Coturnix japonica: one gene and its partners. The protein of the gene in region 2 purifies or fractionates together with the protein of the main gene of each other region. This does not show direct contact. Links are inferred from orthologs where the notes say so. Each region holds a gene or a part of one and is shown on either strand. Other genes may lie near its edges.

The links. Proteins that work in one complex are often made in the same cells at the same time.
Region 1: the proteins of TNKS1BP1 (region 2) and CNOT6L purify together in Homo sapiens (affinity purification with mass spectrometry; 4 studies listed by BioGRID and IntAct, with this or other methods). This does not show direct contact. The link is inferred for Coturnix japonica from reciprocal best matches to the Homo sapiens genes TNKS1BP1 and CNOT6L.
Region 3: the proteins of TNKS1BP1 (region 2) and CNOT6 purify together in Homo sapiens (affinity purification with mass spectrometry; 3 studies listed by BioGRID and IntAct, with this or other methods). This does not show direct contact. The link is inferred for Coturnix japonica from reciprocal best matches to the Homo sapiens genes TNKS1BP1 and CNOT6.

The regions. Positions count from the first base shown.
Region 1 is NC_029519.1:30,864,654-30,874,496, forward strand, and holds part of CNOT6L (CCR4-NOT transcription complex subunit 6-like), read left to right. Parts: intron 1-4,514; 5' UTR 4,515-4,524; coding exon 4,525-4,636; intron 4,637-4,997; coding exon 4,998-5,184; intron 5,185-5,696; coding exon 5,697-5,782; intron 5,783-6,220; coding exon 6,221-6,310; intron 6,311-7,170; coding exon 7,171-7,239; intron 7,240-8,692; coding exon 8,693-8,850; intron 8,851-9,555; coding exon 9,556-9,710; intron 9,711-9,843. UniProt on the Homo sapiens protein: Has 3'-5' poly(A) exoribonuclease activity for synthetic poly(A) RNA substrate.
Region 2 is NC_029520.1:7,742,525-7,752,926, reverse strand, and holds the start of TNKS1BP1 (182 kDa tankyrase-1-binding protein), read left to right. Parts: upstream 1-4,053; 5' UTR 4,054-4,612; exon of another isoform or gene 4,613-4,657; intron 4,658-4,962; exon of another isoform or gene 4,963-5,068; intron 5,069-5,326; 5' UTR 5,327-5,432; intron 5,433-5,936; 5' UTR 5,937-5,983; coding exon 5,984-6,068; intron 6,069-6,178; coding exon 6,179-6,818; intron 6,819-7,582; coding exon 7,583-7,658; intron 7,659-8,532; coding exon 8,533-9,792; intron 9,793-10,248; coding exon 10,249-10,402. Other genes in the region: FACT complex subunit SSRP1, read left to right, coding at 1-164, 331-403, 889-1,027, 1,160-1,205, 1,753-1,876, 2,396-2,566, 2,841-2,932, 3,110-3,293 and 1 more.
Region 3 is NC_029528.1:4,243,553-4,253,389, reverse strand, and holds the end of CNOT6 (CCR4-NOT transcription complex subunit 6), read right to left. Parts: intron 9,122-9,837; coding exon 8,964-9,121; intron 8,426-8,963; coding exon 8,271-8,425; intron 7,606-8,270; coding exon 7,451-7,605; intron 6,994-7,450; coding exon 6,763-6,993; intron 5,505-6,762; coding exon 5,302-5,504; intron 4,652-5,301; coding exon 4,439-4,651; 3' UTR 511-4,438; downstream 1-510. UniProt on the Homo sapiens protein: Poly(A) nuclease with 3'-5' RNase activity.

The DNA.
Region 1 (9,843 bases), on a different chromosome or scaffold from region 2:
TTGTTATTTTGGAACAGCACACAGCTCTGAGGGACTTTGACCTATCTGGCTTCAAAGTCCTGCAGCACAGATGCCAAATAATCTGGGCAGATTTCTGCGGCGTTTCTCTTTCCAGTGAACATATGTTAATCCTTCTGCATTACGTGGCGTATTTACCTTCAGAAGAAGAGATCTGACTTTATTTAAAATGATACAATTTGTAGGGCTGCCTTCAGCTTCTCTCTGGGGGAAGTCACACTTAGCAATTCATACCACTGACTACATCTTCCTTATCTCGTGGCCTCTGCACCTGGATAACTTGAGAAGATCTCAGACAATACAGAAGAGCAGTGCTCTCTTCTGTTGTTTCTTCTTATTTTTTTTGAGGTTCCAAGCACACAGAAGATGTGTTTGTTGCCCAAAACATCTCCTGAGTGTGAAAGCCTGCAGTGCACTGTGGTGGCTTGACACTTCCTTCCTCAACAGACCACGCTCTTCACATCTCCCCTGCTGCTGCTACGTGATGCCTTTTTTGTTGTTGTTTTAGTTGATAATCTATGCACTATGGTCTCAGATCCAGATTTTCTTTACACAATGTTAGTGCCATACTGTTAAAGTTAGATTTTTAGTGGAGAGCAAACTTTAATAGCTTCAAAAGTTTCCCAAGGGATCTCTTAGGAAGAAAAGGAGTCGAGGATTTTTTTTTGTCCCTCTTCAAAAGACAAGAAACAGAGTGCACGTATCCTGCTCCTATCACAGCCCTGTTAACTGAGTTTCAGCAAAGGCCTCGCTGAACTCACCCACAGCTCAGGCTGTCCTGAACCTGTGCTGCTTCCGTCCCACTTTATCCTTTTGATGACGCTGATGCTCATCCAGTTTTGGGGTTAAATGATGCAAGGAACTTGGTCTCGCTCCCTGAAGGCTGAGCAAAAATAGATGGGGATTTTTTGGTACTGGTTTAGTTCCAGAACAAGCAGAGAGGGAGATGGGAACCAGAGGAGCTGGGAACCCAGGCAGAATTCATTTTTGCTTCAAAAAAACCCGTATGCAGTGGCTTTCAAGTCCAGCTTCGTGTTGCTATTATGCCGAAGAAACAAGCGTATTTGATTTAGGTTTGTTTTCCCTTTCCTGTAACTGTGGAAATCATATTGATCCTCATTTGACTCACAACTATTTCAGAATAACATTACAGTGACTAACATCTGAAAAATGTGCGTGGCGTTTGACTCGCAGTTCAGGGCTCATTTCATTGGAGGGCCTCCGACTGCCACAAATTGCTTTAAATTGGCAGAGCTGTTCTCATAACAAGCGATATTTCAACATAATTGAATTGGGTTCCCTTCCCCAGAGGAAGCAGTACTCCCAAAGATCTCTGGAGATGTCACCCCACTGGTGGTCACCTCCTGGCCCACGGGCAGGTATGGTTGCTCATGGAGTGAGTCAGCCAGCCTTGCCGTGAGGGCCCTGGCGTGTTTGTTTGACTTCTGCCTGGTGGAGAGGAATGGAGCTGGGGGACTACTTTAGGGAGCTTAAAAACAGGAGGGAAACTGACTTTTTACTTGCTTAGATAGCAATAGGACAAAGGGAAATGGTTTTCAACTAGAAGAGGGGAGATATAGGTTAGATGTTAGGAGGAAAACCCCTTACTCAGAGGATGCTGAGGAACTGGCACAGGCTGTCCAGAGAACCTGTGGATGTCCATTTCCTGGCTGGAAGAGGCTCTGGGCAGCCCCGTGTGGTGGGTGGCAGCCTTGCCCACAGTGGTGGAGTTGGAACTATATGATCTTTAGATCCCTTCCAGCCCGAGCCTATCTGTGACCCAGCAGTGGGGCTGCTCGGCAGCTGGGGCAGGCCCCAAGCCACTTACAGGCTGTGATTCAATGCTTATGACAGCAAGGTCCCACAGCTGGACCCAGCCTACCCAAGCTGCCGGCCATCTGTGTCTGGCTAATGATGAAACGGCAAGCAAACAATTCATTCAATACAAATCATTCCCTGCTTGCCTTTTTAACTGGCAAGGTGCCTTGAAGCTCATAGGAAGCAGCCGTGTCCAAACCTTTGGCCAGCAGTGTGCGGCAGGGCGGGTGGGTGTATTCCGTGTGCAGATACTGAGATTTCCATCTCTCTGGGTCTGCTATTGCTATAACATTATGCTGAAGCAAACGGGAATGCGAAGGCAAGCACAGCCCATCCCATAGAGCATTCACTCAAGTGCCGTTCAGAAGCAAAGTTTGTGATGCTGCAGCTGTCCCAGGGCCAGACGTGGGAGAAGAAGAGCTGGGTTTCAGAGGCAGCAGATTAAGAAGCAGAATGAGGACCCGTCCTGGTTCAATTCAAATGTTTGATGATTAAGACTTATAGTTCCCAAAAGCTCTCTCTTACCATAAGCCCTTAATCCTTTGTTGGTATTCCACTTGATTTTCACCGCAGAGCCTTTCGGTTCCCCCCCTTATAATCCATACTGTGCCTTACGGATGAAATACATGCTGCCAGGTAATGAAATCTCATTTTCTGTTAAAGGATCCTTGCGGGTAATCCTGTGACAGTGACACGGCGTTACCCACTGCAAAACCAGCTGGCTGCTTTTTGGCGTGGATGGATTTGCTCTCTTTTGTGCAGTTCCTGAATCGTTAGGGCTGCGATCCTGCTCTGGGCATATATCCTGTCAAATCCCTTTGTGAGGCCAAGGGCTTCCGTGCATCCATGTGTTTAACAGTGAAAATAAATCCTGTGAGAAGAAGAACTGGAAATTTAGGACTACCAAAGCACAGCCTGTACCTGCGGCTGTACTGGGCAGTGCTGCTTCTGATTTGGGGATTTAAGCCTTTCAGGTCTGATTCTAATCTGTTTCATTCATCTCCTCAAACTGCATTGCTACAGCTGAGCAGCGTGAGCAAAGAATCCTCTTACACCACAGCTCTTGTGCCATCTGACTTCACCTGTAAATAGCAAGCCACTATGATTAGCACTTCTGTCTGTGCCTTCTGTCTGTCCCTGGAAACAGACAGTCTGAATTCAGCATGAATGGGATTCCCTTGCATGGTCATTGGAGGGCGAAGACATAGACCTTTAACTGGGACCTCTCAAGAAGGGCAGCTCTTCTCTCTCTGTGGAATGCCAGGGATCTTTCCTGGTTGGAAAAACAGCAGTGCTTTAAGCTCAGCTCACAGAAAAGATGAGTGCATTAGAAGGGAACTGAAAGCCCACCCAGCCCCTACACTGTACCATGGGCTGGGCTACCCCCCAGTTCAGCTGCCCAGGGCCCCATCTGGCATGGAGCACCTCCAGGGATGGGGCAGCACAGCTTCTATGGGCAGCCGTGCTGCTGCCTCACTGCCCTCTGAGTAAAGGATTTCCTCCTAACACCTAACCTGAACCTGCCCTCTATTAGTTTAAAACCATTTTGACTTGTTCTATCACTATCTGCCTGTATAAAGAAGTCAGTCTCCCTCCTGTTTATAAGCTCAGATTTTTGTGTTTCGGCAGTTGGATGAGCTGAAGAAACCTTGGATGAGTTTCCTCAAATTCTTCATAGGTTTCTGTCTTGTCAGTTCAGCAAACCAAACCAGTTATTGTTATTTTAAATTATTCACAGCTATTGGAATCCATTGTAAAAGAGACATGTATGAGGAAAAAAATGCATTCTGGATAGCAGCTGCTTTGGATTGGTGTAAGATTGAGGTTTGTGTGTTTTGTGTGTCTGGGGAGGAGGAGCGGGGGGTGAGAAGTGGTGAACACAGAAGTCAGCTAATCTTGTGTTTTTAAACCAAACAGATCCTCTCTCCCTAAGAATTCTTAGTGCAATGGTCTGATGAGGTATGAAGGGGAACCTCTGTTTGTCATCCATAAAGTGCACAGCTTTTGAGTTCTTATGCCAAGAATCTGGAAAGTGAGATCATTTGGATGTGTGTGTGCAGGCTTACCCTGCGGGCACAAGTACCTGGATAGTTCAAGTTTTGGATTGGGATGAAGCTCTGTTTGTATCACTGAGAAAGGGAATTGTACCCAAACTTACTTTAGATCTTCCCAGCTTCTAGGAGTAAAAAGGTCTTGATTGATAGTGAGCTTAGAAGAGCATAGAGCAGAAAAGCTAGATGGTTGATGGGAAAAAATAAGAGCTAATTCCCCTTCAAACTTCAAGTTTTCTGTAAGTGAATGGAAAAGGAGGATTTTGCATGTTGAAAGCAATTGCTGTAAAAATGCAGTTGTTATTTCCTGTGAAAATGAAGTGAGGGAGAAGTCTGCTCAGATGGATGAGTGAAATGCCATCACCTTGTCTGCATGTTCTGCTCACAGCAAGTAACTCAGTGATGATGGAGGTCATGCTTTGGTCTAGGGTATAAACTAAAAATCCAGAAATTCTGCTTTGGAAGTGTACGAGGGAACACTGTAGAAAACCAGATTCTTCAGGGAAAATGCCTTTTTCCATTACAAGTCCATGTTCTGCATGGGTCTGAGCACCTGCTGAGCTCCATGCCCTGAGCTGTTTGGCTGGTGATAACATTCAGGCAGTCACGGTTATCAATGTCTTTCAGACTAACAGTGATGCCAAAGGAAAAATATGATCCTCCCGATCCTCGCCGAATTTACACCATCATGTCAGCAGAAGAGGTAGCCAATGGAAAGAAGTCTCACTGGGCTGAATTAGAGATCTCGGGTGAGTTGGTTTGCGTTTGAATTTTGGTTTGGCAAATTTAAGAGCTTCACAGCCCAAGGGCTGCATCGGCCACTCTCAGGTAGGGGGTCCTGCAGTGAGAACGGTTTTTCTACATTGAAAAGAATTATTAATTAACTTGCCAGATTGCCTTCAAGCTTTCATGTGAAACACAAACAGACTGGATGTGCGGTCTTAGCAGCACGTTGATGTCCCAGACCTCTGTCTCTGTCTCTGCTCTCTTAACCGGGAGGGTCAGGGAATTGTTTAGGAGCTGCTTGTGGATAAGATGCATGTCACACGTGGGTTGTGATGGTTGGAGGGAGTAAAGCTGACTGAGGAGGTGCTTGGTTTTCTTTTTTAGGTAGAGTGCGGAGCTTAAGTACGTCGCTTTGGTCACTGACGCACTTGACTGCTCTACACCTCAATGACAATAATCTTACTCGCATTCCACCTGATATTGCCAAGCTTCATAATCTGGTGTATCTGGACCTGTCATCCAACAAACTCAGAAGTTTACCAGCAGAACTAGGAAACATGGTGTCTCTCAGGTAAGAGGAAGCATTTGGGTTGAATTTCCAAAAAAAAAGTCTGTATTCTGAGATTAGAGATTATTTTAGTTGGATTCATTCTTGTTTCCTAACTCTATTCTTGGATTTAAAACCTGAGAAAAATCAAGGTTGATACAAATGTTCAATTCTAACAATTAATCCTGGTTGTATGATCCTGTTTTCCTGATCCCTACAGATAGCTAACCATAAGCTGGGTAGCATTCTGCTCTGAAACATTCTCACTTTGAGACTTTGTGATTGCCCACTGTTTAACTAGTGTCTGATTTTACTGTGCAGGTTGGTTGTGGTTGGGCTTTTTCTTTCGCTTTGTTTTGTTTTGCTTCGTTTTGTTTTCCTGATGTATTTCAGTTGTGCTTCGAGGATTTGCATGTCTTTGCATAGCACAAAAAATTCAGGGTGAAAAGTGCCACCTTTGAAGATGAGCAGCATCGTGCTGTAAGAGTTATCTCCCAGAGTGACACTCATCAAAAGTGTTTTTTGCTTTGTTGCAGGGAATTGCTTTTAAATAACAATCTATTACGGGTTTTGCCTTATGAACTTGGACGGCTCTTCCAGCTACAAACCCTGGGTTTAAAAGGTGAGCGAGCTCTTCACAGTTAAATATTTCTCAGAGTGCTCTTGACTTACTGAGGGAGTTGTGCTCAGAAGCTTCCTGCATTACCTCAACATTTTCTTACAGTTTCACATATTAAGCAGCAATGACCGACCAGTTTGGAAAATAATGCTTTTTTTAATGATATTAAGGTGCAGTATGAACCTGTTTTAAATCTGTAAATGGGTAGACAAACCCCATAACTTACTTTGTTTATTGATTGAGGTGAATCAAAAGAAGAAAGTCTTGCATGCAAGCTATCTCTATGGCATCTGTTACTGTGGTATTCAAGAGTTACAAGCTAAGCAATCTAAATTCCTTCTGGGTCAATTTGTCTGTTCTCATTACGGGAGATTTTCTTTTATTGGAAAGCCTCAGGAAAATCAGGCAGCTAATCACCCAGTTGTTCTGTGTTGTTGGCAGGCAATCCTTTATCACAAGATATTCTCAGCCTCTACCAAGATCCAGATGGAACTCGAAAGCTACTGAACTACATGCTTGACAATCTAGCAGGTGACAGACCTACAGATCTTGATTGACAGAAATGTTTTAAGAGCATGCATGTCTGACAGTATTTGCCACTAAAACAAGAAGGGTGAACCACAGAGGGGAGAACATTTTCTTACTGCTTCTGTGTTTTTGTTAAGCACTTCTACTCATACACACACACACACACACATGGAGGAAGAAGTACATAGATACTGTCTAAGCTTTTCACCGGTTGCCCAGCCAGTTGTTATCACTGAGGTTTGAAACCCTTCAGTTACCACAAAGTCTTCCTCGCTAAAGCCATTTCGATACTAGAAATTAGAATGCAAACAGAAGCAGAATGTCAAACATAGAAACAAGATTCTGATTAAGAATATCCAGTACCTGTGCCATGGCTCTGTAACCATGTAACCAAACAGTTTTCTGTTTTGCCACTTTGTCTCTCATGTGGTAAAACAAAACAAACTTCTGTCTCTGATGTAAGTTTCCACAGATGGAATTTTAAATGGTTTTGGGATCAGCTCCCAGCTGAGCTTTACAGTGTTGTAAAATGGCTGTGGTTTGAGGTGGCACTTGTTTTATGCCAACTCATGGCAGTCTCTGGCTTTGTAAATGGAGAGTATGCATTGCAGGAATGATGTATGTACAGCAGAGTTCTCAGAGAGGGGAGTATAGGATGTCAAAACAACTACAAGGTTTACCCCTTCTTCCTCAATAATATTTTCAAGGTGCACGTGTATATCCTCATCTTTCATGGAGCTTAAAAAGACATGGGAAATTGGTGTTGCAAAGTACAGTATGGGACATTATTGTTCATTCATCAGTTTGATTTAGAATTTGCAGCTGAGTTAATGGTTGCTTCTTTGTCTTGCTTTTATTTTTAGTTCATCCAGAGCAGCTGCCTCCAAGGCCATGGATTACTTTGAAAGAACGAGACCAAATTCTGCCCTCAGGTAAAACCATGGTTCTTTTCCCTATGTTCAAACAGCGACGTGCTGAAGAACTTTTCTTTGGCTTCTTTTTTCAAAGCCGTCTTCTGTCTTACATGGATCAGATGTAAGAGAGCGATTTGCTTTAATTCATATTAAATAATTAACACATGTTTGTGCTGTAAGTACCATTGCTGTAATTCAGATGGAATGCTGGTCCATTTCTTTGTGTTAGGCAGACTAGGAGGAGACTTGGAGAAGTTGGTCCACAGGACAAGGAGCAGGAGGAGTGTTAGTGAAGTTAGTGTATCGCCCTCTGTTGTTGAAGTTGAGGAAGTTCACGAGGCAATCTTCAGTCTACAAATCCGGTGCCTCTTCCCCTGTAGTCTTGACTGTAACCCTCAAGAAGCATCCAAGAGCTTTTGTAAAGAACAAAAACGCTACTGTTGTTATTGCAGAAGATCAGGTTAATAATCAGCAATGGCGATGTGGAAATCCTCTGCATTTTTTTTTCCGTTTTAGAAACCCGAACATAACTCAGTAGGGCGTTAGGGAGGGTGACACCATAGGTAAGATCATCTGTCCCTTTGTTAAGTTAAAGAACAACAAATCAGAAGAAACAAAACATAGTAAGAAAGGGGAGAGGTACCAAAAGCCTCGTAAGCCACCACTACATTAAGTTCTGCATTTCCAGCATCTCACTGCAGTTTTTAATCCAGCTTCCTTAGGAGAAACACAATTTAGAAGCCATTAGACAGCACCACATCAGCTGAGTGAGCTGTGGGATATTTCATGACAAAAACTACAGTAAGCCAATTGGCTGTGAATTGCATGAAATCAGTTGTATAAAGTTGAAACAACTGAGCAGTGATCTTATTCGACTACAAGCACAAAAAATGCAGCTGTGAGGTTACCTCACAATAAAACCTCACTTCTTTTTCTGCAAAGATGAGCAGTCTTGTTGAAAAATTAAGGAGAGCTGAGAACTTTGTATGTTAAAGAAGTGTGTTTCAGTTTGAATTATCAGCTGCATACAGACTTCTCTCTTTTCTTCTTTAATGTCCCCAAATAATATAGAAAGTGCTTGCTCATTCATTACTTCATTTCTCTTTCTTTTCCTCACCCTCACCCAGGGCACAAATGGCTGCTCCTTTCCATCTCCAACCCCCAAATCCAGAGAGATGGTTCCTAATTGCTGCCTTCCCTCATTCCCAAAGAAATAAAGATTTCACTGCAAAATGGGATTGCATTGCTTTGCTGTGTGTATTAAGCAGTCTCATTTTGGCAGTTAGGAAGAGTTTAGCCTTATAACTGCTGGCTCAGCTGGGTCTTTGTTAGTCCTGTTCATGAAACTCAGTGGAATAAGCCCATGTACGTTCAGAATAAACTGTACAAGATTGAGTGTTTTCACTCTGCAAGTTCAGCATTTGCTGCCTTCAGAGGTTGGTGATATTTCCATCTCTTTGTTTCCTTCTAGCCTCATTCACAGTTATGTGTTACAATGTGTTGTGTGATAAATACGCCACCCGGCAGCTCTATGGCTACTGCCCATCTTGGGCGCTGAACTGGGAGTACAGAAAAAAGGGAATCATGGAAGAAATCGTCAACTGCGATGCAGATATCATTAGTCTACAGGTAACTGGAAAATGTTTTTCATTAGAAATAGAAAATGCTGCAATTTCTGTTCGGTATGGAAGTTAGCATCTCAAAAATGATCTCACTAGGAAACGAGAACTGGCATGTCAAAGTTAAATATCAGTTGTGATTGGTACATGTATACTGCTATTACAAAAAATCCATTGTCAGTGTGCAGAGTAATTGAATACTTCTGCCTTTAAACTGACAGTTTGTTTTCTAAGCAAGGTCTGTATGAGTAAAAATCATGCACAAGAAAAGATTATTTATCTCTGTGCAGAAACCTCAAGAGAGTGCTCTTGGAGATCAGAAGTTATTACAAAGAAAATGTGTTGTTACAGAACAGGGAGAGACCCTGCTGTGATAGAGCTCCCAAAGTTAAATATGAACTGCTGCCGATACCTGTCATCCTGCACAAAGTTTTAATCTAGGACAGTACCCACATTCATCTCTCAAAAGCAGCAAAGTAATCTGTTGCTCATCAAAGTACACCTGGCACTTTCCCTTTCAAGGGGATTCCAGGATATCCAGGAAGGCACATCTGATTCCATTAGGCCATTAGTTGAAGAAGTGACATGACTTGGGCAAACAGAAGCTTTTGACTTTGGTAAGGGCTTCTGATTGCAAGGCAAGACAAGCACTAGCTGTCACATTGGAAAGGTTTACTTGACTTTGTTAACATGCAGTATTTGTGTTCAATTTTAGGAAGTGGAAACAGAGCAATACTTCACTCTTTTTCTGCCAGCCTTGAAAGAACGAGGATACGATGGATTCTTTTCTCCAAAGTCACGTGCCAAAATCATGTCTGAGCAGGAGAAGAAGCATGTGGATGGCTGTGCAATATTCTTCAAAACTGAAAAGTAAGAAGCAGCTCTTCTTAAATACGTCAGAAGTAGTTTAATTTAGGTCTCAAGGTCTCCTCTCAGTGTGCATAAAACAGAAGATAAAGTTCAGTACAAAGAAAGATCCTCCTTCTCCTTTTGCTGCCCTGAC
Region 2 (10,402 bases):
CCACTGGAGCGTGGTTTCATCTACGTTCACAAGCCACCAGTACACATCCGCTTTGATGAGATCTCCTTTGTCAACTTTGCCCGTGGGACCACCACCACCCGCTCCTTTGACTTTGAGATCGAGACCAAGCAGGGCACACAGTACACCTTCAGCAGCATAGAGAGGTGGGCACGGAGCGAGCTCTTACTGTAACACAGGGCTGTTCTCTGTCCTGCCACTCAGCCCCCTTGTCCCTGTGTCCTCCATGTTGGTTACACGTGGTGGATCCTTACTGATGTAACAAGGTGTAAAAAGCTCAACCTGTCCCTGACCACTTTGTCTCTGCTATAGGGAGGAGTACGGGAAGCTCTTTGATTTCGTCAATGCCAAGAAACTGAACATCAAGAACCGAGGCCTCAAGGAGGTACCTGCTGCACAGGGCTGGTTCTCTGTGCCCTGCTAGAATCAGTGGCCTGCAGGCTGGGGTGGGGAGATGACTTGGGGCCTTTTTTCTTCTCTCCAAAGTTTTGCTGCTTTTATTCCTTTTATTATTATTATTTTTCACCTTTCTTTTCTTTCCTTACCCTTGTAGAGGAAAAAGGTCCGTGCGATACCCCTTCCTCTTTCTCCTTCCTCCTCCTGGTGCAGGTTTCCTCTGCATGGCTGTGTTGGTCTCTGACTAAACTCAGTAACTGCAGCATGATTTGCAAGAGGGGCCCCCACCTAACTCAGATAACACCTTTGGGAACCTTTCCTGCCCCTCTCTGCATCCCTGATGAGAAGACAGGGAGACAGATGGGACGCTGTGTGTTTCCCAGCCTGGCCGTGCATGCTTGTAGTTTCTAGAGAATGGACTGTATGCAGATGTGGTCAGCATGGAGAGCAGCTCTCACTCTGTCCCTCCTGCAGGGTATGAAGCAGAGTTATGACGAATATGCCGACTCTGATGAGGACCAGCACGATGCCTACCTGGAGAGGATGAAGGAGGAGGGCAAGATCCGGGAAGAGAACGCCAACGATAGCAGCGATGGGTCTGGAGAGGAGACAGGTACGTGCTGGGGCTGCATGTGAGCCTCACTGCCTGAGGGGCTGCCTGGTGTGCTCAGGCTACTTCCTCCTCTGGTTGAATCCTGCTGTGTTCCTTGGCTGTCTATGCTCACCCCACACTCTGTCCTTTCAGATGAGTCGTTCAACCCTGGGGAAGAGGATGACGATGTGGCTGAAGAGTGAGTAGTAGGGGCTGGTCAGGAGTCTAACTATGGGCAGCTTTTGGAAGATGCCATTTGTAGGCACTGTGTGGGGTGGGATGGGGCCGTGAGAATGTTGAGGAATGCGTCTGATGCAGACAGTATCACTGAAAATGGCCTTGTAAGTTGGTGCGTTTCTGGTCTGTCTCTCGAGTTCTCTTGATGAGAACTGCAGTCTGAACAAGCGCTCAGGGGCATCGTGTGTGCTGATGGGAGTCAGGTTCAGCCCAAGAGGAGGGGTGGATCTTGGTGCCGTTCAGCTGTGAGGCATTGCAAATGCCTAAAGTTTACGGGAACTCAAAATGATCAGCCATGTTCGTGGAAAGAGAGTCCCCTGAGGGCTGTTAAGTGCAAGCAGAACAGCTTCAGCTCAGGAAGTCTCCGATCTGCAAGTTGCTGGAGGATGGGAGAGTTCAGGGGCAAGTCTTGCTCTGTGCTTGCCACTGCTACGACTCCCTTACCTCCTGCTTCATCTTGCTGGAGTTGAGATCTTGAGCTTTCCCTGAAACCAGGTCTCTTCACACAGGTTTGACAGCAATGCCTCAGCCAGCTCCTCCAGTGGGGATGGTGACAGTGACCGAGGTGAGAAGAAGCCAGCCAAGAAGGCCAAGATTGTCAAAGACCGCAAGCCCCGTAAGAAGCATATGGAGGTGAGAAGTTGTTGCTGGTAGAGTTGTGTAGATCAGGACTCACTGCCCTTGGAACATGGATTGCTGCTCCTATGTTTGGAGCAACACCAGATCCAGGTCACAGCACATCAGCTGAGCTGCTTCCCGTTAGCCTTCTGCTGTGGTCTGATCCAATCCCACCACCTCATTGTGCTTTGCTGGGTTTGGGTTGTCCAAGCCTGGCTCTTCTGCTTCCTGCAGGCTTTACTTCATCTTGCAGATGAGTCTAGATTGAAACACTTACAAAGTATATTGTGGTGTCTGAGCCTGGCAGTACCCTCTGATTGTTGGAGGACTTGCCCCCCACAGGTCCTTCACATCCACTCCACTTACTCTGTGGGTGCTTTCACCTTTGTGTGTGTGTGAGCTGACAACTCATCTGTCTGATTAAGTAGCTGAGTTACGGGTGGGATGCAGGAGGCATCATCTTGGGGTAACCAATTAAGACTTTAGTGTGTGGGGTATTTCAAGTCTTGGTTCTTTCCACTTCCTGCTTTCCAGAGCAAGAAAGGCAAAGACCCCAACGCGCCCAAGAGACCCATGTCAGCTTACATGCTTTGGTTGAATGCCAACCGTGAGAAGATCAAGTCAGACCATCCTGGTATCAGCATCACAGACTTGTCCAAGAAGGCTGGGGAGCTCTGGAAAGCCATGTCTAAGGAGAAGAAAGAGGTGGGTTGCTCTTCCAGTGTGGATTGCTAAGCCGTATGTAGGAAGGGAAGGTGGATGTCAGGATGCTCTTGCTTGGTCTCGGGATCCTGCTGCTCCATTAACGGATCAGGAAGGGAGGGTGGCAGTGGGGAGCTGACATCTCAGCTGGTGTGTGAGTAAGGTCTCCAGGTGGTCAGGGACATGGGTGGAGATCGTGTTGGACTCTGGTGGTGCAGATGCTCATGATGGTGGATGGTGTGGGAACAAAGTGCCACTTAACCTGCTTTTGCTGCAGGAATGGGATCGCAAGGCAGAAGATGCCAAGAGGGATTATGAGAAGGCCATGAAAGAGTACAGCGTGGGCAATAAGTCAGAGAGCTCCAAGATGTGAGTATGCTGAGCAGACAAGAGGGATGTGGCAGGGCTTCACTGTTCTGGAATCTGTCTGTCCTCAGCTGCTGTGGTGGCTGGGCCTCTCTGAGGCTGGGGGATTGTGAGATGGGACCAGTGAGCTGTCAGCAAGGTAATGCTTCTGTCTCTTCCACCCTGCCAACACACACACAGGGAGAGGTCTAAAAAGAAGAAGAAGAAGCAGGAGAAACAGATGAAGGGGAAAGGGGAGAAGAAGGGTGCTGCCTCCAAGTCTTCGTCCTCCACCAAGAGTTCTGCCAAGAGTATGAGTGAGAGCTTCAAGAGCAAGGAATTTGTCTCCAGCGACGAGAGCTCCTCTGCAGAGAGCAAGAAGGAGGTAGTAGGGCGGTTTGGTGGTGGGATTTGCTGGGTCTTATTTTACCTCATCCCTACAGGCATATATTCTTCCAGATAGCATGTACATCCAGTCTTGTAGCAGAGGACTGAGTTTGGTCTTTGCTATTGGCAGAGGAGCAGGTGAACATGAGCTGCTCTGCTTCTACTGTCCTGACTTCCCATTTCTTCCCACAGGACTCAGAGGATGAGAGAGGCGCCAGCCCGGCCCAAAGCTCAGAGGATTCCGGATCCGGCTCGGATTAGTTCTGTCCCCGCTGGCTCCAGGCTGGTTCCCAGATCAGCGTGAGGACTGGGTGGGCCGGCCCGCAGGAGGGGTCTGGCTCTTGGGCTCTGGCTGGCTCCGAACCTGCCTGGCCGCCCTTCCTCCTACCTCTGCTGCCAGGTGAGGGGAGGCACCGGAGTGGGGACAGGAGGGTGCCCAGCTTCACTGCTTGAGCCCTTTCCCCTCAGTGCCTGGCTACAGAGTGAAGCCCCACAGAGGGGAGGCCCAGGAAGGAGCCTCGATCCCACTTCTGCCCTGTTTCTCATCAATTTATTTTTTTTAAATACTCGGGTTTGTTTCGGTCTCTTATTTTTTTCCTTTTTGTATGTTGGGTCAGTTCACATGGCAACTCGAATTGAATAAAAAACACCCGCGGCGGGACTGCAGTGTGGGTGTGGAGGTGGGGGTGGGCCGGGCTCCTCTTCCCCAGGGGCACACGGTGCTGGGATGCCTTCCTTCTAACATCGCCTTTCTCCCGGCATCGCCTCGGCCTCCTTGAACCGCAGCCAGGGGCTGAGCTCACTCACAGCCCATCCATTAGCAGCCGGAGCCCCTTCCTGCGGCCTCCCTAATCCTGTTAGTCTCCATCAGCCTCCTAATGGAGGGCCGGCGGTCGATCCCGATGCCGTGCGGATGTTCTCTGTGCCCTGGAGGGCCGCACCGTGCCTGGGGGTGGTGGTGGTGATAGTCATTTCATCAGCGTTCCTGCTTGACCCCGGCATGGCGGCCTGGCTGCGAGTCAAAGGCTGCAGGGGAACGGGCTCGGGGAGACGGGGCTCGGCCTGGCCGCCCCCTCTGTAGGTCACAGCCGGTTTGTGGGGCCGCCGCACCCCGGGGTTCCCCTCTACCGCCCTCTCACACTCAGGCCCCGCACAGCCCGTGCTCTATGGCCGCTGGAGGTGCCACGCGGCGCCGCTCTAGTTCTCCGCTCTCTCTGCTCGGCCACGTGGGGTGGGCGCGGCCCGAGTGGGGGCGCGGTGGGTGGGGAGGGGGCGAGGCCATCGCTCATGAATATGCAGCGGCGGCGGCGGCGGCGGGTGAGCGCGGGCAGGGCGAGGGGTCACGGCGGGAGCGCGGCGTGGGTACGGTACCGGAACGGGGGAGGGGCGGCGGGCAGCTGGGTGGGGTTATCTGGGCACGAGGGTGGCGATGGGGTCGGGGTCCTTGAGGCCGTTCAGCCCGTCGTGCCCGGCGGGGCCGAGGCTCGGGCTGCGAAGGACACAACGGGCCGCCCGGCCCTTCGTGCGGCCCCTCCTCGCCGATGGAGCGGGGGGCTCCGTTTCCATGGCGGCGCTCCCGGGCCCGCCCGGCCACTCGAGCGGGGGCTGCGTTACCGTGACAACGCGGGCAGGCCCCGGAGGATGGGAGGGGGGAGGGGGCACCCCTGTCTCCCTTCCCCCTTCCAGCCCCGTTCCACACCTCCCCCCCCCGCCCCGCTTCCCTTCGCCTCGTCACCGAGCGGGGCCTCGTCAGCATCCCGGGGCTGCCAAGGGGTTGGGAAACAGCCTCGGCGGGGGGAGGAGGGGCGGGAGGGGGGGGACGATGGCTTCCAGATGTGCCCCCTCCGGTTCCGTTTGGCCGGGGTGGGGGGAGCCCGAAGAGAGAAGGGGCCCGAGGGGAGAGGGGGGGGGAAAGGGGGGACCCCGCATCGCGAGTGGGAAGGAGGGAGCGGGGAGGAGGCGAGGGGAAGGCAGGGCAGGGCAGGGCCGCGAGGAGGAGGAGGCACGAGCGAGTTTTTCCTGTCCCCGCAGCGCCAGTGAGTCACGGGGAGCCGTGCGGCCACGCCAAACCGGGCCTGGGCATCGCGGCCCGCTCCCCTCCAGCCCCAGACCCGGCCATGAGGCGACCGAGGGGCAGGTGAGGGGGGGGCGACCCTATAGGGCCCGACGGGGCTGGGGATCGGGACGTGGGAGCGGTATGGGCTGACGTGGTGTGCGGAGCACTTCCGTGAGGGAACGGGCAGCGGGTGGGGGGGCTGCCCCAGGTGTAGGATGGGGGGTCGGTGCGGGTGGACGAGGGGCTGGCACCGCACACAGAAGGCAGCCCAGGTGAACAGGGCTGGGGTGCACATATTTACTGAGGTGTGCAAGGGACTGGCACGGTGTGCTCTATGGTTGGGTGCTGCCGGCGGGTTGGGGCAGTGTACAAAGGGTGGTACGGCCGAACGGAGGCTTGGCGGTGAGATAGTGGGTTGGCACGGTGTGCTGCACTGGTATAAGAGAGTGGGAAGCCAGCAGCACAATGCAACATGCTGCAGGTACAGCAGGGACCGGGGGCACCAGGGTGAATGGGGCAGCAGGCCCCAGTGGACAGGGTGGACTAAGGTTCTTCCGTGACGTTTCTCCCCTCTCTCTTCTGCAGGGGCTGACTGCACGCTGAGTCTGCTGAGCATTAGCTCCGGCTTCACCATGGCCTCCCAGCCCCAGTCCCTGCACCCCCCACTGCCCTGTGCCTCCGGGGGGACCGGACTGGCGGCTGGCAGCTCTGAGAAAGGTGAGAATCTCCCTGAATGGCTTATATGTGTTTTTAACCCAGAGTGAGATGTCTGCAGGTGTTGTTGTGTTCTCCAACTCCCCATGTTTCTCCTCGTCTTTCTCCCACAGGCAGTCCTCGCCCCAAGCCTCCTGTCCGGCCCAAGCCCCGTGTGCTGCCCAAGCCAGCCGTGCCTGCCAAACCCTGCCTGCCTCACCCCCCACCAGCACCACGGCATTCTCGTCCTGAGCTGCCCTCCGCAGAGAAGATAAACCGCCTGGCAGGCCCCCAGCCGTACAGTGGGGGTGGCTCTGGGGTGGCCCTCAGACGCCCCTCTTTCACCATCAAGTCACCTGAGACCCTCAACGGGAAGGGGCTCCCATCCCCACCAGTTTTCACTCCTGAGGACTCGTGTTCAACCCCCAGTGATGAGGTGCCCCCGGCCCCATCGACGCCTTCCCGCAAAGGTCCAGCTCCCTTTAAGGTGACACCAGTGCCTGTGGCAACCAAGCTGGAGCGATTTCCAGGCACCACCGTGGAGGAGATTCTGGCCAAAATGGACAGCAAGGAGGGAAGCCCTGACCGGGCCCGCATCTCTCCCTTTTGCTCCGATTCTTCTTCTCGCTTTGGCTCCAAGATCTTCACCGCCTTCCGGAGACGCCCTAGTGGGGAGGCAGATGGAGACTCCCCTGGTGAAGCCCGCCAGCTGCTCCAGCAGGCTGAGGGAGAGCTGGGGACAGGGGGTGACAGATGCCCGATGGTTGAGATGAGGTGAGGGGCAGAGGATCGGTCCCAGGGACAGGGAACCATGGGGAAAGCATCGGTGGGCAGTTAGAGATGGAACTAAATGGAGCTGGAAGGGACCTGAGGTCTGGTCGCCAGTACAAGGCTGTTGTTCCTCCTAACCAACAGTGCCTTGAGCCGCCTTCGTGGGAAGGCTTGGTCACCCGCGACAACTCTGGTGGTTTATTAAAACCACAAGAATGGGCCGGCCCAGCTGAGGAACTGCCTCCACGCTTGCAGCCATCTGGGACTGGAACCTTGCCAGACAGCACTCCGCTGCCCAAGCAGGGAATAACGGGGGGTTACTGCCCCTGGGAAATGTTCCCCCTTTTCTCCACTCTATTTTTTTTCCTGCTAGTTCATGCTAGAGCAGAGAGGCCTCAGATCTGTGGGACTCCTGGCTGCAGGAGGGGCTGGTTGGAAGCCAGCACTTGGCTGTGCTCCCTAAAGCCGGGCACCTCTGGGAGCAGGGCAGGGGCTATTTTAAACCAGAGTGTGAGAAACTTGCACTCCAAAGGATGAAAAACTTTCCAGAAAAGGGGTTGTAGCTGAATTGCCTTTGCAATCCTAACCTACCCTGATAATTCAGGGCATGTTTCCAGTGCCCCTTACAGAGAGTTAAGGGTTGGTTGTGGTCCTCGTCCACATCCTTCTGTGGCCAGAGCCGGATGGTTTGGGGTTGGGAGGTGTGTGCTTGTGGGAGGAAAAATGGGTTGCACGCCATATTTACCCCCCTACCTGTTTTTCTCCAGCAGCATCTCCTCCCCAGCTGGCGCGAGCTGTGCCGGGGACCCCTGTGGACTCTGGAGGCCACCATCTCCCCCTGACGTGAGTTCTCGCCGCACCCTCCTGCGTCGCGGCCACTCCACTCCTGGGCTCTCTCCTTCGGGGCTCTCCTGTCTCCTCCGGGGCTCCCTCTCTGCGGGGTGCGTGTCTCTCCTTTCTCCTTTGGGTGCCAACTGCTCTGGGGAAGGCAGGTGACTCCACTGCAGCCGCAGCTCCCTCACAGGGTGCCCAGGTGCTGGGCTGGGCTCTTGGAACAAGAAGTGATTTTCAGTCCTGGTGCCAAGGTGGGGACAGGGAGAAGCTGTGAGTCACCAGCTGAGATTTGGTGACCGGGCAGGTATGTGGTAGGCGGGCCCATTCCGCTTCCCTGCCGTGCCCCCTCCCCATGCACTGGAGTGATGACAGAGACACCAAAGGTGGCAGAACTGCTGTGGAGCATTAACCCTTAACAGTTCTAGTCAGGCTTGGCCCACCCTTATCTGGGTGATGCTGGAGTGTCTTGAGGGTGCCCAGGCCCACGCGGGGACGATTGGGGTGGTTGTATTTTTATTTCTTCTTGCTTCAGTTCTTCCTCTCCATGTCTGTCTCTGCACGTTGATGGTTGGTGGGCACCAGCAGGGCTGCTGAAGCAAGGAGCAGGGCTCTGGGCACTGCTTGGCCCTGTCCTGAAGGGCATGCAGCTGGAATGGGAGCTTCTGGGAGCTGCCAAGGCTGAGTCACACAGGAAGCAGCTCTGGTGCTGGCAGGATGTGTGGGCAACTCTTGCCCATGGGGTTTAGGGGAGATGGGGCTAGGGACTATGACTGTCACTGTATGTTGGAGCTGTGCTGGCAGAGAGGACCTGAAAGCTGTGGCTGGGTGATGCCTGGGAGGTTCCCCTTGAGTGACTTGACTCCCCTCCCTGTTCTTCCTGCAGCTCTCCTCTCTCCAGCTGGGACCCCCTGGCTCCCCAAGATCCCCTGCTTGCCCACCCCCAGGAGCTCCTTTCCAGCCTGCTGAGCCTTCTGCTGCAGCCCCCGGTTCCCCTGATGCCCCTCCAGAACTGCTGGCCCCTGGCTCCCCGACCATGGCTCTTGAATCCCCCAGATCTCCAGCTCAGCCTCCAACTGAGGAGCTCTTGGCCACTTCCATCCAGGCTCCAGGTGCTCCCTCATCTGTGGCTGAGCCCTGGCTTGGTGCCTCCCGCTCCCCGGGCTCCCCACACACCCCCAGTGAGGGATCTCCCACTCCTGCCAGCCCCTCCACACTGGGCGCACCCCAGCTGTCCCCAAGAGCCACCTGCCCCCCTGGCTCTCCTGAGTCTGCCACCCAGCCATCACCTTCCCCGAGCCCGCCCCCTGAGCTCCCTGCTAGAGCTTCTCGCCCTCCTGGCTCCCCTGGGGGTCCTGATGACTCCCCCGTGTCCTCTCGGACTCCTGAAGGTCCTGATTTCAGCCCTCCTCCCTCTAACAGAGACTCGGGGCTGCGGCGCTCATCAGAGGGGGTGCTGCGGCCCCCTCCCAGTGAAGGGCAGGGCATGGGGTTGCTTGGGGGCTCACTGGGTGCCCTGCCCCAGCCCGGGGACCAGCCAGCAGAGCACTTGCTGAGCAGCGAGTCCAGCTGGAGCCTTTCCCAGTCCTTTGAATGGACATTCCCCACACGGGGGGCAAGGGGGCTGCCATCCCCACCCAGATCCCCCATCCAGGAGGCAGCTGACTCTGGGCTGTCTGAAGAAGATGAGTCGGACAGGGAGGGTGCAGCTACTGGATCCCATGGGGACAGCGGGGACGCAGATGGGCCTGGCTTTGCAGTGACAGGCAGCTGGGGAGCTGAGGGGGCTCCGTGCCCAGGGGGTCCTGTGGCTCAGCAAGAATCTGAGAGCTCGGAAGAGGAGGAGGAAGAAGAGGCAGAGCTGGACAGCACCGAGCTCCACATAGTGGAGCCCATCTTGGACCCAGCTGAACCTGAGCCCCCTGTCAAGGCTACCCCACCAGATCCAGCCCCCACTGAAGCTGACACCTGGGAGCCAGCAGATGAGCCTCCTGCAAGCCTGCAGGGCCTTGGAGGGCCAGGCCAGGATGAAGGCTCCTCAAAGGGCCCCGATGCCCACGCTGACCCACGCTGGCTGACAGAGCTGCTGGCATCACCCAGGGCCCGTGCATCAGGACGTGACCCTCTGAAGGCTGAGGAACAGGAGGTGAGGGAGCGCGTGGCTCCGCGGCACCAAGGGTTAACGGGTTGCGTGCAGCGGTGCGGTTGCGCTCCTTTTGGTGCAGCAGAGCTGTCTGACGAGTTGGGTGGAGGCTGTGCAGGAGCATGCGGTGCCTGCGGGGAGAACTGGGGTGGGGCTGGGAGCCGCGTGTGCGCTGGAGAACCATGGCTGGCGAGTCAGAGACCATGGCCATCCTCCGGAGGCTGCTGGCCAACCTGGAGCTGCGGGATGAGCTGGGGAGGGCTCAAAGTGCTGCAGGGTGGGAAAGGCCCTGGGCAGGCACGGTGGCTGTAAGTACAGGTAGCTCGTGAAGCTGGGGGGGATGAGCAGTTGGGACCTGGCCTTCCTTTGGAGAGGAGTATTGTTGGATATCCCCCAACCCTTTTCAGATTATCCTCTGCAGTGTTTCTCTAACTCTTTCTCCTCTGTTTGACTCTCCAGGGTCTGCTTGGCTGGTCACGGAAGGACCTGTGCAGTGAATTCGGTATTGGGAGATCTCATCAGGCTGGTGCTTTTGACTGGAGCCATAAGGCTGTGGCCAGACAGGGGGACTGGCCTGGTGAGATGGAGCAGGATCAAAAGTTCAGGACCAACT
Region 3 (9,837 bases), on a different chromosome or scaffold from region 2:
TTGAATCTTATTTCGAAAAGATGAAAGAAATCTTCACTTTGTTCCTCTTCTGTGGTGTATTAATGAAAAAAGGAACCTCTGAATTCCTTCCTGTTGCCAGATCCCAAGTCTGACTTAGGCTTTCTGGGGTAGGAAGGAGATGGGTCACAGAACAAACCCACGGCTCCTGCACTGCCATACAACCCACCTTACTGTGAAGAGCAGAGGATGGCCACATATGAAGACACAGAGCTGCAGTCTAATTTGGTCAGAAGATCACAGGCTTCTTATTTTGTTTGAACACATTTTCCACAAAGTCTGGAGGCATTATTAACCAGTTCTTGATTTTGCAATCCAAGCCCAATTGATTCAAAGGTTTTTGGTCCTCAGGAGTACAGGAAAGACTTCCTGGGATCATCAGCTGCTTATTTGCTTCCATTTTACCCTTGACATCCTTCACTTACTTTGGCTACAAAAGTACCTCGAGGAAAAGCTTTCAGAACTAAGTTAAAATATGAGTTAGACTTCAAGAAGGTTTGAAACAGATATTGGATTTATTGGTCAGCTATGAGTAGGAAAATACATTGGTAAGGAAAAAGAAGACCCTGTATATAAATATAATACTAACTAGTTAAAATTTGACCAAGAAGAAAGTTCCACTGAAGAGAACAGTAAAAGCCCTTGTTTACCATCAGACCATATTCAGTTTCCCATTTATCGTATTGAAGAGCTGCCTATAGACAAATGCAACATTCTTTGAGCTTAGTGCAGATAATGTGCTGGTTTTTGTTACATGAATGGTAAACAAGAGTTAGTCCAGTGCATTACACGTTATACAGAAGTACTGTGAATAAAGACTAAGATACTCTATTTTAGACACTACTTAAACATACCAAGACACTTAAGTGTTACAAATTTATGCAACCAAAAGAAAAGAATAGCAGTTAACATACTAAAAAAATACTGTGACCGGCAGGATGAGAAAGGCTTGCTACTTACGCAGTTAACTGATTAGTACTATTTTTACAGTGTAATTAGTTGCCTTTTCCAATGTCATTGTAATTCTTTTGTATCCAATACAGGTTTTACCTTGTGGCTGAAAAAGCAAATCATAACCTAAGTCTGCTCAAGAAAACCAAAACCAACCAAACAAGAACACAAAACACCCAAACTTGAGAGACTTGCTAAAGTTACACCAAAGATGCCTACGTACAATGTTCTAAACAAACTCACTTTTGTCCAGGTGGTGGCCAAATGTATTATTTTCTCTTAAAGCTAAAAGGACAAAATAATTACAAAATGCACTGACACTGACTTATCTGCCTTCCCCCTCCGCCCCTCCCAACTGATGTCATTCTAAAGTAGTAGCTTGTGGATTCACCTTGTAATCAATCCTCTTAGCTAAAGGAATGCTCAATTTCACATTTCGAATCCCAGAATTCTTTGTAAATGTAAATACAAGTAGACAAGATACGGTCGACCTTATTTTAAGGGGAAAAAAGCCTGCTCAAACCTCAGCGAGTCCCACTGATGTTCTGTGACTTTTGCTGTACGTGCTTTTACAACATGAACACTGAAAGTACATTATGGCAACACCCCAAACCACCTCCAATAAAATACTGCAAACAATCATTTTGAGTCAAAAAACTATGAAGCAAACGTTTTGATTGTGTGAAGACAAGATTTATTGCCTTATTCTATGCTATAGCTGGAAATCGAGACTTCTGAGTTACATTTGCTTGACGTACGAATGTATTTTCTTTAGAAGTTTATCTCAGCTCCGTTTTGGCGCCTTCTGTGATTTCCCTGTACTCAAACTATTTCTCATTCCCTCCTCTCTCAAGTGACCACTGTAGTCCAGTTAAAACCCAGTGAAGTCAAAGGAGTGCCTTACATGTATTCAGTGGGTCTTCAGTTGGGATCTGATAGACTAGTATAAAAGCTGAAATGGTTACTTACATGGACCCTTAGACTGCCAGGTGACTGAACAGGGACAGCTGTGTCTCCAAAAGCACAACGGGCCACATTTTAATGATGTAATAAATTCAAATATTCTTTAAGACTAAGAAATATAGGAGAAAACATACTGGATAAAGCTCAAACCTTTTGAATCTAACAAGTGCACTCAAGCTCCAGCATCTATTAAAGCAAATTACCCCCCCCCCTAAGAAATACAAAATGAATAAGTGCTTCCCTTCCCCTTCTGTAAAGCTTTCTGGACTCAATACACAATCCAGATCCTCAGAAAAGAAAAACAGTTTGCTCAGCTGGACAAGCTAAATGGGCTCGCCGTCACTGGAAATTGTCATGATGTACATTACCAAGACATCATTAAGGAAACATGAGTAAAACACTTTTTATTCACACTTTACAAAAAAATAATAATAATAATAACCAACAAAAAGAAAAAAAAAAAAAAGAAAACAAAAAAGAAAACAAAGAAAAAATCCAAACAGAAAAAAAAAAATAACACTACGCATTAAGTTTACTACAGCAATACTACCAGCATTTCAATGTACTGATTATAAACTGGACGCGTTTGGTGTCTTCACAACTAAAACGAGAACAAAATAACCCCAAGAGATCAGGTCCCAGACAAGGATTCAAGATCAGAATTTCTTCTACTGCAATTTAAAAATGTACATTTCTCACATCCGAACTGTTTGCCACGTTCACCTTCAGCTTCAAACAGACGGTCTGAGCACACTTATGTGCTTCCTAATTTTTAATACGATTTTGAATCACTGTTACCAATCCACTCTCGCATATATATAAAAAATTTTAATATTTAGAAAGTTCTCTTAATGCTCAGTGTCCTTTTGCTTCCCTGCCCGCAGCTGAAACAAAAGCTGTTTAAGATCAAGCTTTCTATCTCCATTTATTTCACTTTTTACATTGATTATTTGTGTTGTATTAGTTTAAGGAGACGATAACGTCTCTCTCATAGAATACAAATACACAAGTTAAAATTTGTGAGCTCTCGTATACTTGGCTTCGTGACACAAATGGCACTGAGGGTACACAATAACTTTAGTCTTGACACTTTAAAAATAAGACTTGGTCACTTTAAAAATGATCTGAAGAATTGTCTTTGGGACCTGCTTCAAAAACGCATTTATTTCTACACTGCTTCATCAATGGAAAATGGAAGGGTTTCATCTTCTTCATCAAGGAATTATACTCTGAAACTGAGGAACACACTCAAACTAAGGAGAATTCACATGATAATTCTTAGTGGGAAACAGAGCGCTGTGCAATGACACTGAAAGAAGCAGCGCATGGGTATTAGAAGCTAGAAACTGTGTACCCATAACCTGAACACGTTCAGAGTGTGATACCCAATGCTTCACAAAGGAAAAAAAAGAAGATGCCACAGCTTATACAAAAGTATCTTCATAAAATTTTCACAAGTGTTAACGTTATTTAAAAAACATAAAAGAGGATGCACAGGCTCTCTCTGCATGCACAGGCAGTGCTAGTTGAGAACAAATTTAAGCAGGCACAGTGGAGATAGGACAGGTATTAAAACAGAAATGAGGAAGCTATACACAAGTATCCCTACATTTTACTTCAAAAGTTAGAGATGAGAAAAATATCTGAGAGTATACACATCTGCAATAACTTTCAATGCATACAGGTCTACTTATATTCACTGCTTAGCTTATATGTTCTGTGAGAACTCCATGCTTTTCTCTTTTTTAAAATCAGAGATCAATAGAATGTATTTAGTCCTCTGTAAGATACTGAAATTTTATAGATCTGGATTTTAAAAGCAACGTTCTCAATTGAACATAGAAAGTAGTACAAAAGGGCTAACAAAACCCTAACAGTGCAAATCGTTAGCAGAGAAAACCTGTGACAACCTCTTTTACAAGCTGGCCTTTATAACACATGAAAACAGATAAAAATTTAGCCTTAGTTTACAATACAATCATTTTCCAAATCTGATTTCTTTTTTTTTTAAGTACAAAATTTCATAAATCAGGTTTTCTGTTGTTCATATACAATCAATAAAGGCTAAATTCAAATTCTATATTTTACAAACAAGTCTGAAAAAGGAGGGAGTGAAGTACGGAAGAGTGTTCTGTGGATGTTCCTACTGGCCTCAAAAAAGTAGTGCTACAGATAACTGTGCAAAGAGAATATACTGTATAACAATTCCCTATTTCAAGGCATGAAAACGTCACGTTGGATAAAAGAAACAGGAAGGTTAACTGCAACGTATTAAAGAAAGGTGCAAATGCACCGATCACTGTCGACAGTATACAAAGTATAGTGGGCTCAGAATTATGTCTGTTGATAGCACCTGGCTTTTACTATGTCTTTAGCAAATAATTAGATTTAAGATTAAGATTATTAAGAAAAAAAAAAAATCCCTGTTGGCCATACCTCACTCCTCTATATTCAGATTTTACAATTGTACAAGTTTGATTGAGGTTACCCTCTAAAATGTATTTAACTACCTCCTGCCAGGGAGATGGATTCCATTTACAGGAGGCAGGAAAGGCAGCAAAAGCTCCAGTTGTGCAAAAAGTGAGAAGTGGTCAGAAGGGATGAGTGGATGGGGACAACCACTTATATTGTTCTCTATCAACCAATGATGATCCAAAGGTCCGAGAATGCCAAGTATGTTTAGCTGAGGTTTAGAATAGAAGATGTAGTCAATAATACCCTAAAACAAGAAGGGAGATAGCAATATTAGTACATTATCTTTACCCAAGTTATTTTTTTTTTCCTAAACAAAAGGTGAATTCAGCATTAGGAGTAACTGCAATGCTATCATTCCTTTGCTGTAGTTTATCTTCAATTTAGGAGACTTCTATTTCCTGTCCTGTGGGTAGCCCAGTACAGATTAGAGAAACAAATTCCTCTCCACATCATTCTGCTCTCCTTTTGGAGGCTGTAATTTCCATTCTCTTACAAAGCCTCAAAATCAGAGAAATGTAACTTCAAGAACAGAGCCATCTTTCTTTTCCAGTAGTGGCATGGATTATTTCCTTGGAACTGGCACATTATCCATTCAAATTCCAGTATTTGATTAAGCTTGTATTATTAGAATACAGCATCTTATTTAAAGGGAAGGAAACCAGTGCCCTTTTTCTTGCAGATCTACTACAAAACTAACACGAAAAAGGAAAACTCGATTTCTAGGAGACGGAAATTTTAGGCATTCTATTTGCTAAATGCTTTGATTGTTTTAAATGAACTTGATAGACTTACCTAAACATTAACCTCCTTGTTAAACAATTAACTAACTGCATTTCCACTAATAAAACTTAAAAAATGGAAATTTTTTTTCCAAAGCAACAGTAAAGTCCTTACCTTGAAGTCAAACGTGTAATTTGTATAAGGCATTAGACCATTCTCATAGGCACTCTTCAACTTGAAACCATGTGTAATTCTTCCATTTGTTGTTCCATTTTTCCCATTACAGCTGAAGTTAGTAAGACTTTCATTGTATCTCAGTTCCTTAAAATCTTTGTGGTTTGTTTCCACTCCGCCAGTGCTCAAGTATTCAACAACACCTATTAGGAGAGGCACATACACAATAAGGTATTAACAAGCATTCAGCAACTGTGCATGGATTACTTGGAGCCATATGTGCAATTTTCTGCTTTATATAAGTACACACAATATACTCAGCAGTTGATCTTAAAGAGATATTGTGAGACAGTGTCTATGTGTGTCAAGAGCAAATGCCACCTAGAACAAAGACAGATTCATTGATTAGAAAAAAAATAGTAAAGTAAATAGAATAGACTGTCTTGAGAGGACTGGGGAAAACAAAAGAGATGGAAGTAGAATTCCATAGGTGCTCGGTAGGCATCTTCATACACAAATCTCAGCTTTCAACCCCGCTTGGCTAAAATGACTCCAGAAAGCCAAGAGGCTACAAAGCAGAACAGATTACTGCCTGGATAAAACAAATTATACTTGTGCCTCTTAATCCGTGTTAGGGTTCAGGAAGGTAAATGACCAAGTGTTCTGAAGGCACAATCAGACAAAAACTGCCCACTGCAGTAAGCGCCACCAATACCTGCCCTCTTGGCATCACAGAGAATCCCTTTGCCAGCACTGCTAGGCAATAGCATCAGGTTAGGGTTGATAGGAATGGCTAAGATGCTGCCAAGTAGAGGCCAGAAGGAAGGTGGACTAGGGATGGAGATAACAGCATGTAGTAAGCAACAATAAGAAAGGGTGGTCCTCAAATTCACTACTCAGATTGGGTACCTGAGAAATAGTCAAGAAAGGGTTCACTGAATCTGCTGTTTTTATAGACTTTAAAGTCTATAAAGTTTGCTACAAAGAAATCTACACATTATTAAAGAGCTCTAAAGAATCCTTTTCTCACAGGAGATGGTTTGAGTTTTAGAAGTCCTAAAACATTTGAGCAGTAGAAAATGATTGTATGGTTGCAACTTTGAAGAGAACAGATATTTTCACACTTAAAAGCAATTATAAAAAATAAACCAGTCATCAGCAACATAGTAACATTGACAGTTACTCTGGAAGACATTTTCTTCTTTCCCATTCCTATATTTTAGGACAACAATCAAAATGATTCTGAAAAACAAAAGTAGAGCTATAGTACTATGCAGGCAATAAAAGTCACTCATGAAAGAAGCAGTTCCATCTTTTTATTCTCTTTGCACTTTTTCAGAGCTTGCAATATCAAACAATATATTCGCTGGGTTAAAAATCCCATTAAAAATTGAGACATTTGGATTGCTACACACTTGAAATAGTCTGATAAAACAATAACAACAGGAATAGTGCTCTTACCAGAGTCTGGCAGAGAATTGAGATCGGCGCACAATACGAGTGGAATGGTTCCAAGTTCCCCTGCAACACCAGGCTTGAGACTACGAGAAGCTTTATCAATAATGTTCTTTACCTCAGATAGGAACATCATAGTCTGAATGAGTTTCACATCTGAGTATTCGGGGTCCCAGTGCATATGTGCATTAGCAACAAGAACAAGCTGCTTTTCCATCCCAAGATGCGGCTTTCCAGCTAAAATTTAAAATTAAATATTTACCTTGCATAGCCAGCAACAGAAAATACCATCATATTTACCTGTGTTTGATTTTAAACAAGATGTTTGAGGGTGGGAAAAAAATACCAGCTGTTTGAAAAGGATTACTAACATTTAGCTTAAGAGGGCTACACAACTCCTCTTGTAACTACTGAGTGCTCAGTGCTTTAGTCAATTCTAAGCATTAGGAATAATCCAATATCAACTCGTTCTCTGATACCTTTACACATCTCCAAGCAGAATCCCTCAAACTGCAGTGCTTTCATTGTTTGTTTTCCAGCACAAAGTTGCAGTAAAAAGGAAACTGGATTTAACGGGTGAATGTAAGTTTGAACACTGTATGTCTAAGGAAAAGATGTATGGTTTAAACGATGATAGGGTTGGTTTGTTTCAATTGATAAAATACCGCACAATCAAATATTAAACAGCACTTACATGACATTTCTATCAGTTCTTTTCGCAGTTCTAATAACACAGCAACTCCAATGTTATCTTTTGTCATAACTCTGTTCAGCATAGCTTCTGAGCCTTCCGAGTTTGCCATAGCCAGTTGATTGAACTCAACAGTATGTTTCTGAACCAAAGTAAATCTGAAAGAGGAACATTGTATACACTTCCTTCAGTAGACAGCCACCAAAGGAAATGTTACAGACAAATTCACCTCTTAATTAAGCTCAAACACATTTACAGTGAGAAAGTCTCAGCCCATCCTATAATTTCATAAAAATCATTTGCTGAAATCAAAAGGATACTGTTTTCCTAGTTGTTTCTTTGTTTGTTTAAAGATATTAAGCTGATTTTAATGAAAACATTTATTTTTTAAAAAGAAGGAGCAACTACTGAAAGAGTGCTTCATTTTCATTCTGCATAAGATTCTAGTCCAAACTTGCTGGTTTAATAGCAACTAGATAATTGCTTGTGGCATCGCTGTGTACACAAAAGGAATCGAAGGAGAAGGACAGAAGGAAAGCCATGACCGCCACTTGTAGTCTGAATTCAGCCTTTGAGATTTCTTTTTTGAGAATTCATTTTTGAGATATTTAATATATTTTTTAAATAAAAATTAAAACGCAAACATCTTTAATGTGTAATGACAGCATTTGAAGCATAATTTACTGAACTCTTGACTTGTTAAAACCAAACAGCTACAAGAAAGGGTGAGCGGTGGCAAACTATTTTGACTTTTGAATGACCCAAGAAATCGTGTAGAAAAGAACAAGAGGCAATGGAAAGCTTAATAAACCAAATCACTTACTTCTCTGTTTTGAAAAATATTGCACAACCATCGACATGTTTTCTTTCCTGTTCGGACATTGTCCTAGCTCTAGATTTTGGACTGAAGAATCCATTATAGCCACGTTCTTTCAGTTCTACCAGGAAAAAACTGTAGTACTGCTCAGTTTCAACCTCCTATAAAGTCAGAACACAGCACACAGTGAATTACTATTACCAAACCACACAAGACTGATATTATTTAGACTCTTCAGAAGTGTAAATCAGTTTCAAATTAGAATTAAGGAAAAAGAAACAAAAAAAAAAAAAACATAAGAATTCCTAAGAATTAAGTACACTGGAGAATACAAATTTGAGAGCAATATTCGTGTTTTAAGAAGAAAATATAAATGAACTTCTGTAATCCCCAGAGTTATGATTATCCTAAGCCTTATATTTGAAAATGTGTCAATTATACCCTCACATGCACACACACAGACACCCCCACATACATTTCTTTGATCAGCAGCTGCTGGTTCACATCCCAACTGTGTGGGCTGAAAAGCATTCTTTTGATGTCAAGCAGCAAATATTGCTCTGAACACCACTTCTTTTTTTTCTTTGTTTGTTTTCAGAGGGTTTTGAAAAACATACCAGTTACAGCAAATATATTTAATACAGAGAAACCAGCACGTGAGAATTGGAAGGGGAAAAGAAATAACAGTATATCTTTTACCTGAAGACTTATGATGTCAGCATTGCAGCTCAGGATTTCCTGCATAATGGCTTTTTTTCTGTACTCCCAGTTCAGCGCCCAAGATGGACAGTAGCCATACAACTGCCGGGTAGCGTATTTATCACACAGCACGTTGTAACACATGACAGAGAACAAGGCTGCAGAACAATAACGTCACTTACATACTGATTATAGTAACAACAAAAAAACATACAATTATCTTCTTCTCCTTTGTCTTCTCTGGACCTATGAATCCATGTTTCATTTGCTTCAACCAAAACACAGCACCTGCACCTATGCTATAAAAGCATCTTTCAGTCCTTCCAGGAGGACAAATTACCTCCAGGTTGGGATTTCTGGCAGCCATTTACTAACATGTACACAGAAACCAAAAATCAAAAGAACTCTTTATATGGTTAATGCAATATACAGTTGAAAAATATGCTTCACATTAAGTAGTGCATAACTGGGGAAAGCCTTGAACAAGGAGTTTCAAACTGATTTTAAATAATCTATTTGAGAACTTTACATACCTTAGGATAAGTTCATTAGCTATCCTAATTTGTACCACCAGCTGAAACAGATCCACATAATTTCACAGATTCACACTTAGGGCAAGGAATCCTTCCCACAAAATACAAATATAGGTAAAATAAAATCACAATTTTTTTCCCCCATCTCAAAAACCTTACAGTTTACAAGTAAAGGAAAGAGAAACCTACTTCTCAGCATTAATTTGGAACAGGAGGGATATATAATGAGACAGCCTGGGGCAAGATTGCAGGTAACCAAACGGCACGGATATTTGGTTTAGTTAAACAGAAAAAGTTGCATGGTAATAAACAGAAAAGGCTTTATTTTAAACAACTCATGC